4 linked regions of the Cricetulus griseus genome follow. The protein of the gene in region 4 purifies or fractionates together with the protein of the main gene of each other region. This does not show direct contact. Links are inferred from orthologs where the notes say so. Each region holds a gene or a part of one and is shown on either strand. Other genes may lie near its edges. The genes, in order: Dpf2, Sin3a, Actl6a and Smarcc1.

Region 1 (3,645 bases), on a different chromosome or scaffold from region 4:
TATAAAAACCCTCTTTGGGGAGGAGCTTGATTCTGCCCCAACTTAATGTACCAAACTATGTTGAGTCCAAATGAGAGCCCTTACCTGTTGGGGGTGGGGAGTGGGCTGGGAGGGGAGGCGAGGGGAGCAGGAGGAGGGAGGGGAGGAAGAACTTTGGTTGGAATGTAAAATGAAATTTAAAAAAATACTTAAAATAAAAGTCCTCCTTGTAGGGAATGTGGGGCATCATCAAAATTCCTTTCTTTTTTTCCTGTAGCCAAGAAAGGACCTGATGGATTAGCCCTGCCCAACAACTACTGTGACTTCTGCCTGGGAGACTCAAAAATCAACAAGAAGACAGGGCAGCCTGAGGAGCTAGTGTCCTGTTCTGACTGTGGCCGCTCAGGTACTTCCATTCTCAAAGAGCAGGCTGCACTCAGTGCCCAGGACACTCTTGGCCTGGTTACTTCAGTGCTGTCAGGCAGCCTCCCATCCCCATTCCCCACGGGTTTCCAGCCCCCGTTTGACTCGCCTCCCCCACAGGGCACCCGTCCTGCCTGCAGTTCACCCCCGTGATGATGGCGGCTGTGAAGACCTACCGCTGGCAGTGCATCGAGTGCAAGTGCTGCAACCTCTGCGGCACTTCGGAGAATGACGTGCGTGCGCCCTCTCAGCCTGCCTGGCTCTCCCCTCAGCTCCCCCAAAGCAAGCTTTCTGTCAGCACAAGCAAGGGCCTCCCTCCTTCCACGCCCCTCCTTAGCCTCCCCTGGGGAACTTTACACTTGTTTAAAAAAATCTGTTTCTTGAGCACCAGCAGTCGGTGTTTTTGGCTCTCAGGTCACTAAGTAAGACAGAGAAGACCATGCTTTCATCAAATTTGTGTACTTGGGTAACAGAGTTTTGTATGATATACCTTGATGAGCCAAAGAGTTAACTGGTCTACAAAGCAAGTTCCAAGACAGGCTCCAAAGCTACACAGTGAGACCCTGTCTCAAAAAACAAACAAAAAAAAAGAGTTAACTTGATACTGATAGAGGTTTCTAGTTAGATTTGCTTTTGGAGGAAATGAAGTTGGTGTTGGAGTTTTGATAACACAAAGAGCCAGTCCAAAAAGGTACAAAATGAGTGTATTTCCAAAGAGGTATAGCCAGTGCAGAGACCTTGAGATTGGCAAGCCCGCTGTAACAAGGCCATTGCTACCCACTAGATCTTTCATGTGGGGGAAGGTGAATCGGAGAGGTGGATGTTGTTTGATCTATGGGTCTTGAGTCCTTTTGTGAGCAGTGAGGAATCCTGGAGATTGACCCCAGGACCTGGTGAACACTAGGCATGAGCTTTGCTGCTAAGCTCCACCCCTGTGCTTGGACCTTGGGGATGTTGACAGAGGCCATTTATTTGGGGGTGGTTGTTGTGTGATATGTTCTGTCTCATATTTTCAGAAGGTAACTGGCAGCTTTGTAGAGAAGAGATTGTAGGGAAATAGTAGGCTTTGTGATCAGTTAGAATCTGGATAGGTTGAGATGGGCAGGTCTTACTTCTTTATTTTAATTACTTAACTTCATGTGCATTGTTGTTTTGCCTGCATGTATGTCTGTGTAAGGGTATCAGGTCTCATGGAACTGGAGTTACAGACAGTTGTGAGCTGCCATGTGGGTGCTGGGAATTAAACCCAGGGCCTCTGGAAGAACAGTCAGTGTTCTTCACTGCTGTGCCATCTTTCCAGCCCCTCTACATCTCTTCTTAGCAGCTACTAGTCCCTCATAAAAGTAGCAGCAGTGTCACAACTTGGGTACATAAGCCTTTGGATCCTTGTTCTTTCTTTCTCCTTACCTTCTGCAGGACCAGCTGCTCTTCTGTGATGACTGTGACCGTGGCTACCACATGTACTGTCTCACCCCATCCATGTCGGAGCCTCCTGAAGGTAAGTGGCCCACCCAAAATACTTTATCCCAGAAGGATCCATAACACCCAAGTAAAACATGACTTGTTATAGGTCTTAATTGTGTGGTTTCAGCATTTTTTGATTTCTTAAGACAGGGTTTCTCTGTATAACAGCCCTGACTGCCCTGAAACTCACTTTGTAGACCAGGTTGACCTTGAACTCACAGAGATCCGCCTGTATCTGCCTCCCAAGTGCTGGGATCAAAGGCATGCATCACCACTGCCTGGCCCAGAATTTTTTTTTCTTTAAAGACTTTATTATGTATACAACATTCTGCTTCCATGTACATCTGCACACCAGAAGAAGGCACCAGATCTTATAATGGATGGTTGTGAGCCACCATGTGGTTGCTGGGAATTGAACTCAGGACCTCTGGAAGAGCAGTCAGTGCTCTTAACCGCTGAGCCATCTCTCCAGCCCCCAGAATTTTAATTTAAAGAACTTAATGTTTGCAAGCTGTCTTCCTTTGTATAGTCCAGAAATTCAGTTGGAGCTTATCTAACATGATATTTCTTTTGTCGCTCTCCTACTCTGATGGATTGTTTCTTTCCTCTCTTCCCCATTCGGGAGGGAGTTGACCCTGGAGCTTGGGGTATTTTTTTGCATCTCTTGTGGTTCACTTAGTAATGCTCCAAGTTCATGGAAGTGCTACACCAACACCAATGGTGACATCAAGGAGTGGTTCTTTTCCACAAGTCCCTTCCAACTGTGTTTCTGTGCCTAGCTCCTTCCTCTAAGGTAGTAGTTCTCAGCCTGTGGGTCTCAATCCCCATAGGGATCACATATTGGATATCCTGCATATCGGATATTTATGTTACAGTTCGCCAAGCGATGATGGCACACGCCTTTAATTCCAGTACTCGGGAGGCAGAGGCAGGTGGATCTCTGTGAGTTTGAGACCAGCCTGGTCTACAAGAGCTAGTTCCAGGACAGCCTCCAAATCACAGAGAAACCTGTCTCGGAAAAAAAGAAAAGACAACAGATATTTATGTTACAATTCATAATAGTAGCAAAATTAACAGTTATGAAGTAGCAATGGAATTTTATGTTTGGGGGATCACTACAACATGAGGAGCTGTATTAAAGGGTCTCAGCATTAGGAAGGTTGTGAACCACTGCAAGAGACTCAAAGCTTGTCCAGGAGGGCCTAAGTACCTAGTAGCTCTGCTGTGCACAGACAGGAGCCAGCCTTCAAGTGGGAGTAGTTTACTGTTTCCAGAAGCTGACTGGTAATGTAGGTCAGACTGCAGAAAATGAGGCCACTAGCAAAACTGGTGAGTACTTTAACAATTGCAGGACCACACAGTGCTACTGAATGCCACATCCATCTCCAAATCAGCTTGAAGAAAGTAGTCCTTGTGTTTTGTTTAATGACCAAATAGCACCTTATAGACAGAACTTGCATTGATGGCCCAAGGGCTTTCCCATTGATATTTTGTGAGACACTGGGTAGTGGAGAGTTGCAGGCCAAGTATTTCCTCACTGGAACATCAGGAGGTCGTCTTCTTTAGGTCATGGTTGGCATGGCATGCCTTATGGGCCATATCTAGCTGTGTCAGTTTACATAGCTTGCAAATCAACAGTGACTTTTACATTTAAATCATGGTTTTTTTTGTTTTGTTTTGTCTTGGTTTTTTGTCTTGTTTGTTTGTTTTGATTTGGTTTTGTTTGGTTTGGTTTCGTTTGGTTTTGCAAGACAGAGTTTCTCTGTATTTTATAGTCTG
Region 2 (4,125 bases), about 49 Mb from region 4:
GGATATGGCTCAAATGGCAAAGGGATTCTTTCTCAAGCAGAGGACCAGAGTTTGGACTCCCAGCACCGACATAAAATACTAGGCACAGGAATATAAAACTGTAATCCCAGCTCTCGAGAAGCAGAGACAGGAAGACCCCTGAAGCTTACAGACAAGTCAGTGTACCAATTTGTGAGCTCTAGGTTCAATGAGTCCTTCTCTCAAAAAAACAAGGCAGAGAAGCAACTGAAGATAATACCCAACACTAACCTCTGACCTCCACACATATATATGCTCAAGTGTTCTCTCTCTCTCTCTCTCTCTCTCTCTCTCTCTCTCTCTCTTCTCTCTCTCTCTCTCTCTCTCGTGCTCGCACACACACACACACAAACACACACGGGGGGGGGGGGGTTTGACAACACGGGACATTGAGAGATAGCTCAATGAATAAAACACTTGTCATGCAAGTCTAAGGAAAACGTTGGGACAAGTCAGACGTAGTGTAACATTTGTAATTCCAGCACACCTACTGGGATTGAGTTGGGAGGCAGAGATAGCAAATTCCCTCTACAAGCTCCAGGGCCAGATACCTTAAACTGTCAGTGGTGCTCAACAAAAGACCCTGCCTCAGGTAAGGTAAAATATTAGGACAGATATCTGTTTTGATGTGCACGTTCTAACATTCTCTCTCACACAACCTCCCACACACACACTTACAGCACTGAAAACTAATTTTTTGGGTTTTTTTGTTTTTTTTTCCAAATAGGATTTCACTATGTAGCTTCGGAGTCTGTCCTGGAACTCGCTTTGTAGACCAGGCTGGCCTCGAACTCACAGAGATCCACCTCCAAATGATGAGGAACTGAAAGCCAGCCTGGAATACAAGGTGAGTTCAAGGCTAACCTAAGTTACACATAGAAAGATTCTGTCTTCAAACAAAACAAACCCGAAGATTAAATAAAAACAATGCTAAAAACTCCTAATCAGTTGCCACTTCCTAAACAAAACCTTGGGGATTAGATGACTTTTATTGGTTTTTCGAGACAGGGTTTCTCTGTGTAGCTTTGGAGCCTATCCTGGCACTCGCTCTGGCCTCAAACTCACAGAGATCCGCCTGCCTCTGCCTCCCAAGTGCTGGGATTAAAGGCATGTGCCACCAACGCCCCGGGCTAGATAACTACTCTTAACAACTAATATCAAATGTTACTCATTGCTTACCTTATCAAAAAATAATGACTCAGTTCCAACACCATGCTTGCTGGCATCTGCCATTGAAGATTCCTTTAGACTAAGCAGTTTGGGTTTTTTCTGGAAATAAAAATAAGAAATAAAACAAAAACATACAATGCTGAGTGAATTTTCTTTAATTTTGCTAAAATGGTTCTACTACTACTAACTAATCAGAACAAATGAGATTGCAGTCACAAATTTCTATCATAACCTTTAACTCTGGGGTTTAAAAAATAAATCTTTAACCTATACTATTTCAACTTAAAAATCCATAGGGAAAAAAATTAGTTCATTGTCTAGTAGACAGCATAACCATCTTATCAGCATATCCACTCAAACTAATACTGCTAATGTTTTTTTTTTTTTTTTTTTTTTGAGAGTGTCACTGTGTAGCCCTAGATGTCCTCAAACTCAAAGATCTGCTTTGCTGCCCTGCCCATCACATCACAGTGTTGCTAGGACAGGTGTCACTGTAACCCCTAGCCATATTAATAATTTAACTTGAAAGCCACATGGCAGTGGCACATGCCTTTAAATCCCAATACTTGGAGGCAGAGGCAGGTAAATCTCTGTGAGTTCAAAGCCAGCCTGGTCTACAAAGTGAGTTTCAGGACAGCCAAGGCTACATAGAGAAACTATGTCTCAAAGAAAAAAAAAAAAAAAAAAAAAACAAAAAAAAAGTTTTAAAAGTGGGAGGGAGAGCCTGGCACAGTCTATATCCCTTCACTCATTAGTCTGAGGCAGGAGGGTTGCCATGAGCTGACAATTAGCCTGGACTACTTCTGAGTACCAGGTACAATGAAGGCCAAACAGAAATGAAAAGGCCATAATATAACCCCACTAGGAAAATTTTACTTTTAAAAACCCACCTCTTACTACCTGTGAAGAAATAACCAACTCTGCCAGCAGCTTCTGTCTCTATGGGACGTGGAAACTAAGCACTAGCATACTGTTTCTACCTGTGGATTATCAGGTGTAGAAGGAAACAGACCCAAGAGAGAGTTCTTAGCTATTGAGCTAATTCTTGCAATCCACAGAATACTTTTTGAAGTTAAAAAACCAAACAATAAAACCACTACTATATTCAACCCGATTCCAAAACTGAGAAAACACTGCAAGTACCAAAACAACCTTTCAGAGAGTGTCAGTCCTTGGAGCCACTTGACACCCACCACCTTCCACTGTCTTTTTTGCTTTAACCAAATTCTATAGACACCTCTACTCCATATTACATGGTTTAGAATTCCCAGAGAAATTCAACAATGAATACATTCTGCTTCCTTCTTATATCAGACACACTAAATCAAGGAGACAAACTGGGCTTTCTATTGACAGGTCACTAGTGTTCACTGTAGTAGTCACTAACAGGAGCAAAAGACTGCCCTCTAGTACAGCCCTTGAAGACTAAGAAAATACAAAGCATCTGCACTAGGCTCACAAGAGTCGAATTTCCTCAGAGATCATTCATTTATTATCATTTATCAGTTTAAGAATCATCCTGTAATACAAGGCAATTTTAACACATCAAATCATGATAGAAATTAGTAAGTCTTGACAACAAAGTAAAAGAGTGAGAAGCTCACAGCAAAGGAGAGAGAATATAGGAAAAAAATACAGAAGCTGGAAACACACACACACACACACACACACACACACACACACACACACACACACACACACACACTGACCCACATGGTGAGTGTGCTTCATACCTGCCATTTGCAAAGCTACTAAGAAGCTTTGGAGGGAATTTCTGTGGCCTATACTAACGTGCTCTGGAAATACAGGCTGTAACCATCTTATCACCTATCTGTCTACTCTCACCTTCACTGGAGGCGTGGTACCCGCTCCAGAGTGTCTGCGGATCTGGCAGCCATTCTGGCTGGGCCTTTGTGGCTTGTTGTTCAGTTGGGGCTTCTTCACAGTGCCCCCATGGTCATTTCTCACAGAATCAACCTTCTCAGCAGTTGTTTTGCTTAAAAGCTGATTAAGACACAAGAGAGATTAGTACTTGGATCAAAAGTGTTACCTAAAAAGTCCCCTGTGACTACAGCTTTCAAACTTATAGTGACAATCTTAAATAATGTAGTTTGTCTAAATGAGACTTACCACCGAGCTGTTGGCATCCGGCAAGAACTGTCCAAACTCAGATAACAGATCCTCCTGGTTTTTGAAGAGACGTGCCACCTGGGCATATACCTCTTGCTCAGTCAAGGCTGGAGTATAGTTTCCTCCAGCTTCCTTGGCATTCCTCTGTTCTTTCTGAAGAGCAACAGAAGGGGACAAACGATACACACTAAGGGAGCTACTAGTCTGAATCCTACACCACACACACAATATTTTCTGAAATGTTTGATAGAGCTAAAATACTTTAAAGTATTATATTAATTTAATTACTGTTTTAATTGTAGTCTTTTGAGAAAGAAGATGCTGAATGATAGATAGGTCTTTATAAAACTAAGAACAAGTGAATGCTCCATTAATTAAACTGATAAAACACAAGACATTAAAAAACATCATCCCCCGGGCATTGGTGGCGCATGCTTTTAATCCCAGCAGAGGCAGAGCAGGCGGATCTCTGTGAGTTCAAGACCAGCCTGGTCTATAAGAGCTAGTTCCAGGACAGCCTCCAAAGCCACAGAGAAACCCTGTGTCGAAAAACCAAAAAAAAAAAAAAAACATCCATGTTCTCTTGTAAATCAATCAAGATCCAAAAATTCCCCTCACAAACTTCCACTATGAAACAAACACCCTCTTAACAAGCTAGTGACCTTAAAAAATCCTGACAAGGCCGGGCGTTGGTGGTGCACACCTTTTACCCCAGCATTCGGTAGGCAGAGGCAGGAGGATCTCTGTGAGTTACAGGCCAGCCTGGTCTCCAGAGTGAGTTGGAGGATAGGCTCCAAAGCTACAGAG
Region 3 (4,125 bases), on a different chromosome or scaffold from region 4:
GCATGCAGGGGAATCTAAGGAGTCGGGTGAATATGGTCCAGGTACATGATATATTTGAAGGAGATTGTGATTATGAAACCCAGCACTGTGTACATATACCAACAACAGGGAAAAAAACTTAAAAATACTCAAAGATAGGTAAAAAGCTAGAAAAAAAGGAAAACACATCCTCACTAATATCTTACAATCACAGAGAAAAGCGGTCACATTGTTTAAGGATACGCCGTCAAAACTGCAGTTTTGCAAAGGAAGAATGCAGGGATGCTGTAGTGTTCGAACATCAACTCTGTCAGTTTCTCTCTCTTTGCCCTGGTGTTCCACTGCAGAAGGGAGGAAGGACCCCAGTTATTCAATGTGTAGTAATTAAAGCACTGGCTAGTTCATGCTATATTACAGAGCCATATTGGCAAAAAAACAATGTTAAGAATGCCCTTTTTTAAAATAAATCATAAATTAAGCTATTATTAATCAGGTATAACTGTCAGCTGCTTTGAGTTCTCCAAATACTTTTCAAATCACAGGAAAATCAAGATTCTAAAAACCAAAGTATTATTACACATTACATCTGGTAACTGAATTCTAAATATGAATTTAAAACACCCAATTACCCTCTTGTAACTGGTACTCACAAAGCCAATTATTTCATTTGCTGAAATGTTTTAACCATAATAAAAATTAAGCTTTCCACAAATTTCTAAACTCAAAATGTGAATTTCGATGACTTTTAAGAGGGCCAGCAAGAAGGTTCAGCAGGCTTTCACCACCAAGCCTGATAACTCTAGTGAGATCTCTGGGATCCACATGGTAGAAAGAACTATGCCTTCAAGTTGTTGTCTGACTTCTACATGTGTGCCTGGCACATAAGCATCTATGTATATCTAAATACACACATGAAAAATTAATAAATGAATCAGTTTTTAAAAGAAAGTCTTCAGGTGACTGGGAAGTAAAAGAAGAAGAAAGACAGCGGGTCTCACCGGTGCTTCTGACATGAGAACAGGATGCAGGCTGGCTTCAGATTTGACATGCATCTTATAGGTATGATCCAAAATGGCCTGGAAACTATCCCAGTCTTCAACTACAAGAACATAAGAGTCATAGCCTGAAACAAAGCTTAGCCAACGATAAATGAATGAGCATCTTCTAAGGTGGAGACTGTGTCTGTGACTTTCAAGTTAATGTCTGAATATACAGAATCTACTTTGTAACACAGCACTTTACAAAAGAGGCCATCATCATTTTCTACTTATAAAATCTCTTCTTGGTTCTTCCAGGTGGGCCTCAGATCTGCCCTAAATATAAGCAGAGTGCTTAAGAGACACAACAATTCTAGCTAGAGGCCAGGTGAGTGATCAGAAGAGAAAGAGGACAAAGGAAAGGAGCTCACGGGCTAGACACAGCTACACTTGGAGCTAGGAAAACAAATAAACAACAACAAAACTTGCTATCAGAAAAATAAGATTTAAAGACATTTTAAGAATTCAGAGAGTACCAGACATGACAGTGCACACCTTTAATCCCTGTACATAGTACTGGGGAGGCAGAGGCAGGCAGGTCTCTGAGTTCATGGTCAGCCAGGACTACAGAGATAAGCTTTGTCTCAAGAAACAAAAGAAACAAAAACACAGATGTCTTCTGGCAACCCCTTCTTCTGTTCATGAGGTACTAGTTAACTGGTGACAGTTCCATTGGACAAATAGTAATTTCAACTGCATGTGACTGTTTGACATTACTTGGCACTGTTTACAATGGTTTACAAATGTTTTCTCCCACAAACCCATTTGATCTTTTTTTTTTTTAAATCTGTGGACTTCACCAGTAGCTGGGACCTATGTTGCCCTTAGTGTAATCTCAACCCACCTCTGAGAAAACTGACCACCACTTGACTCTCCCCCTACCCCTAACACAAGACTGTTCATTCTCCTTCCAGAGCACTCCTCTCTACTAGCTAAATACTGAACATGTTTTTAACAGAAAGCCCATTCTTAACCTCTTACAAGTTCCAGTCCTTTTTGGGTCATATAGTGCAATTCCACATCTTCAATGTTTCCCCATGACTTCATTACCAATGTCTCATACACCCTGAAGTCAGGCCATTTACTTGCTGTGTGGGAACACACAAACCTGACCCTCTACTGCTGTCTGGCACTCAAATACTCAACAGTTTCTGGCACTGACATCAAACTTTCCTTGCATGGTAAGAGCACCTGTTTGCACAAAGTGGCTTAGGTTGACTACCACTTCCCTCCTGGGTTCTAGAGCTATGGCACATGACAGGAGGAGGTGGTCCTATGTGACCAGCCTCAATTAAAGCCTTACACACAGAGTCTCTGCTAATCCCTTGGTGGACAATACACTGTGCAGTTGAGTTAGGAAACACATCCCACATATCTACAGTGAGAAGGCTTGGTCTCCTCTGGATTTCATCCCCTTTCCCTTTTTCCTAGATGACTTCCTCATGTGTCTTTTCAGTATGGCCCCATGAGTCAGTCCTAAGAGTATCTTACCTCCAAGTTTTATCCCAAGACTATAACCCATCTTCCTCCCCCTTTAATTCTTACCTCAGTGAATTTATTTATTTGTCCCCTCAACTGAAGTTCTAAGAAACCTTCTCATTCTCTACTTTCTGCCTCTTCAAGCTCTTAGTGCCACCTGTCACCTGGATCCCTAAAAGCCACTTCAGGATCTCTGCCATCAGTGGTTTAAACCCTCATTTCCACTGGAAACTTCCTCCTGTCCTATCACTGTGGTGATATTTTGTTTGTGCTTTAACAAATAAAGCTTGCCTGAAGATCAGAGTGCGGAGCTAGACAGTAGGTGGCCATAGAGGTCAGGCAGTGGTGTCACAAGCAGAGGCAGATGGATATTAGTGAGTTTCGGGCCACCTTGGGCTATACAAGATTGATCCAGTCTAAAAGAGAAACAAAGCCAGGCAGTGATGGCTCACACATTCAATCCCAGTACCTGGGAGTCACATGCCTTTAATCCCAGCACTAGGGAGGTGGAGACAGGAAGGGAGATGGCTGGGAGGAGAGAGGAATATAAAGCAGGAGGAGACAGGAGCTCATTGCATTCAGTTTGAGGATTCCTAGAGACAGGATCACTTTCAGTCCAAGAATTTGTAGACAGGATCCTGCCCTTTCAGGCTGAGCAGTTGGTGAAGTAAGAGGTGCCTTGCTCCTTTTTTCTCAGATCTTTCAGCATTTACTGTGATAGCTAGCTCTGGGTTTTTATTATTAAGATCAATTAGAATTCAAGCTACATCTCTCTAATACCATTGTTTCCTTACCACACCTACATAGTTCTTACCCAGTATACAATAAACAGTTTTCTGTGCATATATCAAACTCTCCAGACCAAGTTTAAGGAAAAGAATACTTCCTACTAATCTTTGTGTTCTCAGTACCCAAAATATTACTTTGTGGAATTAAAACAAACACACACCTGACATCCATCAGTTACCATTTTATATCTAAAAGTACTGTGAGCACTATTTATAATCAAATCCATACCCATTCCATTCTTGAGTGGTGAGATGGCTTCCATGTTCTCCCTGGGTACTCGGAGGGCATTGGTATCTATGTAATAAGTGGGACCACCCTGTTTGCCTTTGTCACCATCTATTTCCATCATGGTGCTTCCATCATCTCTCTCCAACACCATACCAATAGCCGTGGGGAAATCAACCTGGGAGAGTTAAACATGGTATGAAGTAACATCCACTTTCACTGGGCAGTGTTTCTAGTATCTACTGCCATTTTTGTTTTGAGTTTCTGTTTGAATTTAATTTTGTACAAATGACTCTTGTCTATCTAAAATAATTGTCATCACTGTTCTTACCTTGGGGCAGTCCTCACCAGCATAACCAGCCCTCACTGTATATGATCCAATGTCAAAAACAAGGGCGCCAACTTCATCTGAAAAGATTAAAAAACAATTACACATCCCATTGAGGGAGGCAGGGTAGAGGCAGACAAATCTCTGAGTTCCAGGCCAGACTGATACACAGAACTAGTTCCAGGCAGTTGGGGCTACACAGAGAAACTCTGTCTCAACAAAGCAAACAAACAAACCAAAAGAGAGAGAGAGAGAATTACGACTAGCAACTAACATATTTTATGTGTA
Region 4 (4,125 bases):
CCAAGCTGTACTTCTCACAGGTAGGAGGCCGAGGAAAGACAACCAGGTCAGTGTAGGATACATAATGAGAACCTGTCTCAAAGAAACAGAACAAACAAATCCCACAGAAGTAGGAGAAATCCTTTTTTGAAAAAAAAAAAAAGTTACAGAATTAAGTAAGGAAGACAAATGTGAATATAGTACAAATTATTGAATTACAAACTGAGTGAATAAAATGGGGCGTCTTATATCATAGCTATCCTACATAAGTTTTAAAATAGACAAGGCTAAAGCAACTTCAGTACATATAATAAAAAAGATCTATCATCAACCATAAATATCTCAAAATAGCCAGGCATGGTAGCCTTTAACCTCGGACTCAGAAGGGATAGGGTAGGTGGATCTCTATGAATTCGAAAGCAGCCTGAATTCAAGGGAGTTCCAGAACACCCAGAACTGATACACAGAAAACATTGCCACGAAAAACAAAACAAAAATCCCAAAACTGTGCTAACTCTCACACTACTGTTCAGCTCCTGGGCCCTGTTTTAGTTTTCCTCCTCCGTGCCATGAGCATGTGAGAGCAAAGCAAAGATTCATACACCCAGCTTAAGAGGAAGTTTACCCTCATCATTTTGTGGGCTTTCGTGTAAACAAACACTACTATTTTGCACAATGACAGGGAATATAAACATCTGATACCAAGTCCTGGGTACAGCAACGACTCACCAAGCTTCTCTGGCTCGTCAGGACCTGTGCCTGCAATACAGCTGCTCTCCAAGCCATAGGTCGGATCCACCTTTCCAGAGGCTCTCGCAGCTTCCTGTACTTTTTTGACGTGCGCTTCAACTAATTCCAGTGGTACTTCTTCTCGGACCCGAGAAAACTCCTCTGATTCAAAATGAAAAGACACACCATTTGCATTTTGCATAGACATGTGCTTCTCATATATGACTTAGAGTATCTGACATAATAGCATTGGTTTCGTTGTAATGAGCTCTTTGGGGCAGAGGGTAAAATGAATCAATCTACGATTTTTTAGTTTTTTCAAGACAGGTTTTCTCTGGCTTTGTAGGCTGTCGTGGAACTCGCTCTGTAGACCAGGCTGATCTCAACTCACAGAGACCCTCCTACCTCTGCCTCCCAAGTGTTGGGATTAAGAAGGCGTGTGCCGGGATGGAGAGGTGCCTCAGTGGCTGTTAAGAGCATTGGCTGTTCGTCTAGAGGTGCTGAGTAAAATTCCCCAGCACCCACATGGTGGCTCACAACCATCTATAATGGGATCTGATCCCCTCCTCTATCATGCAGAGGTACAGGAAGACAGAATACTCAAATAAACAAATGAATGAATGAATGAATGAATGAATAAATAAACAAATAAATAAATAAATAAATAAATAAAATGTGTGTTCTAACAATGCCTGTCTACATTCCAGGTTTTTATCCTAAACATCATTGTGACGTCTTAAATATACTTTTAAAAGATTTTTAAGGATCTACTAGTAACAATTAAAATTGCAGTCCTATTTTTCTCTCTCTGTTGGCTAGACTGGTAGTTGTAAAAACACCAAGGATCAAACAATTATAATTGCAGGGGTAACGCACCATATTAAATATGAAAGGTCTTAAAAAAAAGAAAAGAGAAGGGATTTTGATGTGAAGGGATGCTCTCTTGGCCTGGACATATGGGGAAGGGCCTAGGCCTAGCCCAGGATGATGTGGTTGACTTTGGGGAGCCCCTTTTGAGGGCCTTACCCTGCCTGGGGAGTGGAGGGGGGATGGCTAGGGACAGGTGAGATGTTAGGGGGAGGGGAGGGAGAAAGAATTGACATGTGAAGCAAGCTCATTCCTAATTTCAACTAATAAAATTAAAAAACAAAACAAAAACAAAAAGTAATTTTAAAAAATGATAATTGTAGTAAATTAATTGAACTTCCATTCCTTGGCTCTATCAATTTCCTAATATCACAAAACACTTCTTTACACACACACACACCAGAAAAAAAAACCTGTGTGTGTACATGTATGTAAGAGATAAGATCTACTGTAGTCCAAGCTGAACCTCAAAGTCATGTTTCTTTTGCTTCTGCCTCCCAAAAGCTGGTATTTCATAGGTGTCTACAATCATATCTGGCTGCTTACCTAATTCTAAACAAATACGCTATCACCAGCAAGATGGCTCAGCAGGGAAAGGCACTTGGGGCTAAGCTGATAGTTTTAAGTTTAATTCACAAGGCACACATTGTAGGAGAGAACCCTCCCAATGCTAGGCCTCTAACCTTCTGAAAAACATCATGATAGTTGATTACATAAACACACACACACACACACACACACACACACACACACACACACACACACACAAAATAGATCTTAAAAAAATGAAAGAAAATGTAAATAAATGCTCTTAACTTACAAAAAATTTTGTACATTAAAAGATTATTTATAACCTTTATGAAAACCATTATCTTTGGGGTTTTCTTGGATTTGCATAAATAACAGCTGACATATATTTTTTAAAACGTTTGAGAGTGTGAGTGTGTAGGTTTGTGTTTGAGTGTAAGCTCACACCAATGGGCATGTGTGCAGACCAGAGGTTTACATCAGGACAGATTTCTCTTTCACGTCTCACGCTATCATGTTCTCTAAGATGCTCTCTATGGTCATATAACTCTGTCCCCAGGGAAGGTGCTACAAGCACCATCTGGAACCTCGAAGTCTTACACAGTCTTTGGAGATGCGATCTCAGGTCATTATGCCTACAAAACAGGCAATTTACACAAGCCTTGTGCTCACGGCTAATAATATTCAACTCTGAGGTCAGATCTCAGTGCTGGAGAGGCGGCTCAAACAGAGTACATACCCAATGCCGCTTTTGCTGCAGCAGATGCCACACGAGGATCAACCACAGACGCTAAAAACGCAACGGTACTCATCACTGGGTTTCCAGACTGGCTGAAAGGGACAGGCTGGTAAGCTAGAGGCCCAAGGGAAGCATCCGAATTTTCAAGGTATGGGTCCTCAATGGGAAGCCTCAAAAAGTGGAGGATGCATTCATCCTGTGTACGACTTCCAACATGTTCTGAGACTTTATTCCAATCATCCTTGTACATCTCCAGAGCCTACGTGAACACATAAATGATGAGCGTTAATGTCAAGTAAAAAGGAGGTAATATGGAACAAAAAATGAAGCATGTCTCAATGTGCAGTACAGACTGCTCTCAAACTTCCAATCTCCTTGCTGGAGCTCCAGAGTGCTATAAGAGCCAAATCACCTGCCTCGCTATGATTCTTTAAACAATATTTCTAAAAATTCTGGGTAAAGATTTAGTTGTGATGGCACATGCCATTAAACCTCAGTAATCAATAAATTGAGGCAGAAGATTACTAGACTGAGAAAGAGGCTAACTCAAAATAATAACATAAATGATTACTAGTACATTAAAATAAAATGGCAGTTTGACAGTTTTCTTTGTAGTAAGCTGTGTAACAGGCAACAAAAATAAATAAAATACATGCGCATTTAGAAACCTGTCCTTTAACAGGATCAGTATTGTTTACACAAAACCTTCTAAAGAATAAATGGGGTAGTGGTTGAAGATTAACACTAAGTATCAGCCGAGCAGTGGTGGCGCAGGCCTTTAATCTCAGCACTGGGGAGGCAGAGGCAAGCGGATCTCTGTGAGTTCCAGACCAGCCTGGTCTACAAGAGCTAGTTCCAGGAGCCTCCAAAGCCACATGTCTCAAAAAACAAAAAAACAAAACAAAACAAAAAAACAACAACAAAACATCCCCAAAAAACAAAACAAAACAAACCCCACTAAATATCAAATGACCAGTGAAAAGTGCAACAGAAGACAAAAACAATACTTGTATTTCTCTAATAACAACGAACAATTTAAATTAGAAAAATATTTGGAACAGCATTAAAATAAAAAAAATGCATTCCATTATGTGTAAGAGCAGCATAATAAAAAGACAATCGAAGACAGAGAAATCAACAACCTAAATCCAGTTACCTCATTAGATGCCACTCTATGACAAACTCTTCCCACACTAAAGCATAAAATATCATCAACTACAGGCAAGGGGTAAGCAACACGGCTAGCAGATAAAAAGTCATTTGTTTAGCAGCCCACAGCATGC

Evidence for each region.
Region 1: the proteins of Smarcc1 (region 4) and Dpf2 purify together in Homo sapiens (affinity purification with mass spectrometry; 9 studies listed by BioGRID and IntAct, counting the BioPlex papers as one, with this or other methods). This does not show direct contact. The link is inferred for Cricetulus griseus from reciprocal best matches to the Homo sapiens genes SMARCC1 and DPF2.
Region 2: the proteins of Smarcc1 (region 4) and Sin3a purify together in Homo sapiens (affinity purification with western blotting; 3 studies listed by BioGRID, with this or other methods). This does not show direct contact. The link is inferred for Cricetulus griseus from reciprocal best matches to the Homo sapiens genes SMARCC1 and SIN3A.
Region 3: the proteins of Smarcc1 (region 4) and Actl6a fractionate together in Homo sapiens (co-fractionation; 8 studies listed by BioGRID and IntAct, with this or other methods). This does not show direct contact. The link is inferred for Cricetulus griseus from reciprocal best matches to the Homo sapiens genes SMARCC1 and ACTL6A.

What each region holds. Positions count from the first base shown.
Region 1 is NC_048596.1:53,441,594-53,445,238, forward strand, and holds part of Dpf2 (zinc finger protein ubi-d4), read left to right. Parts: intron 1-256; coding exon 257-385; intron 386-522; coding exon 523-635; intron 636-1,818; coding exon 1,819-1,900; intron 1,901-3,645. UniProt on the Homo sapiens protein: Plays an active role in transcriptional regulation by binding modified histones H3 and H4. Is a negative regulator of myeloid differentiation of hematopoietic progenitor cells. Might also have a role in the development and maturation of lymphoid cells.
Region 2 is NC_048597.1:168,623,808-168,627,932, reverse strand, and holds part of Sin3a (paired amphipathic helix protein Sin3a), read right to left. Parts: intron 3,472-4,125; coding exon 3,319-3,471; intron 3,193-3,318; coding exon 3,034-3,192; intron 1,288-3,033; coding exon 1,198-1,287; intron 1-1,197. UniProt on the Homo sapiens protein: Acts as a transcriptional repressor. Corepressor for REST. Interacts with MXI1 to repress MYC responsive genes and antagonize MYC oncogenic activities. Also interacts with MXD1-MAX heterodimers to repress transcription by tethering SIN3A to DNA.
Region 3 is NW_023276806.1:116,642,073-116,646,197, forward strand, and holds part of Actl6a (actin-like protein 6A), read right to left. Parts: intron 3,918-4,125; coding exon 3,841-3,917; intron 3,688-3,840; coding exon 3,513-3,687; intron 1,079-3,512; coding exon 978-1,078; intron 321-977; coding exon 223-320; intron 1-222.
Region 4 is NC_048597.1:217,653,606-217,657,730, reverse strand, and holds part of Smarcc1 (SWI/SNF complex subunit SMARCC1), read right to left. Parts: intron 3,102-4,125; coding exon 2,843-3,101; intron 871-2,842; coding exon 709-870; intron 1-708. UniProt on the Homo sapiens protein: Involved in transcriptional activation and repression of select genes by chromatin remodeling (alteration of DNA-nucleosome topology).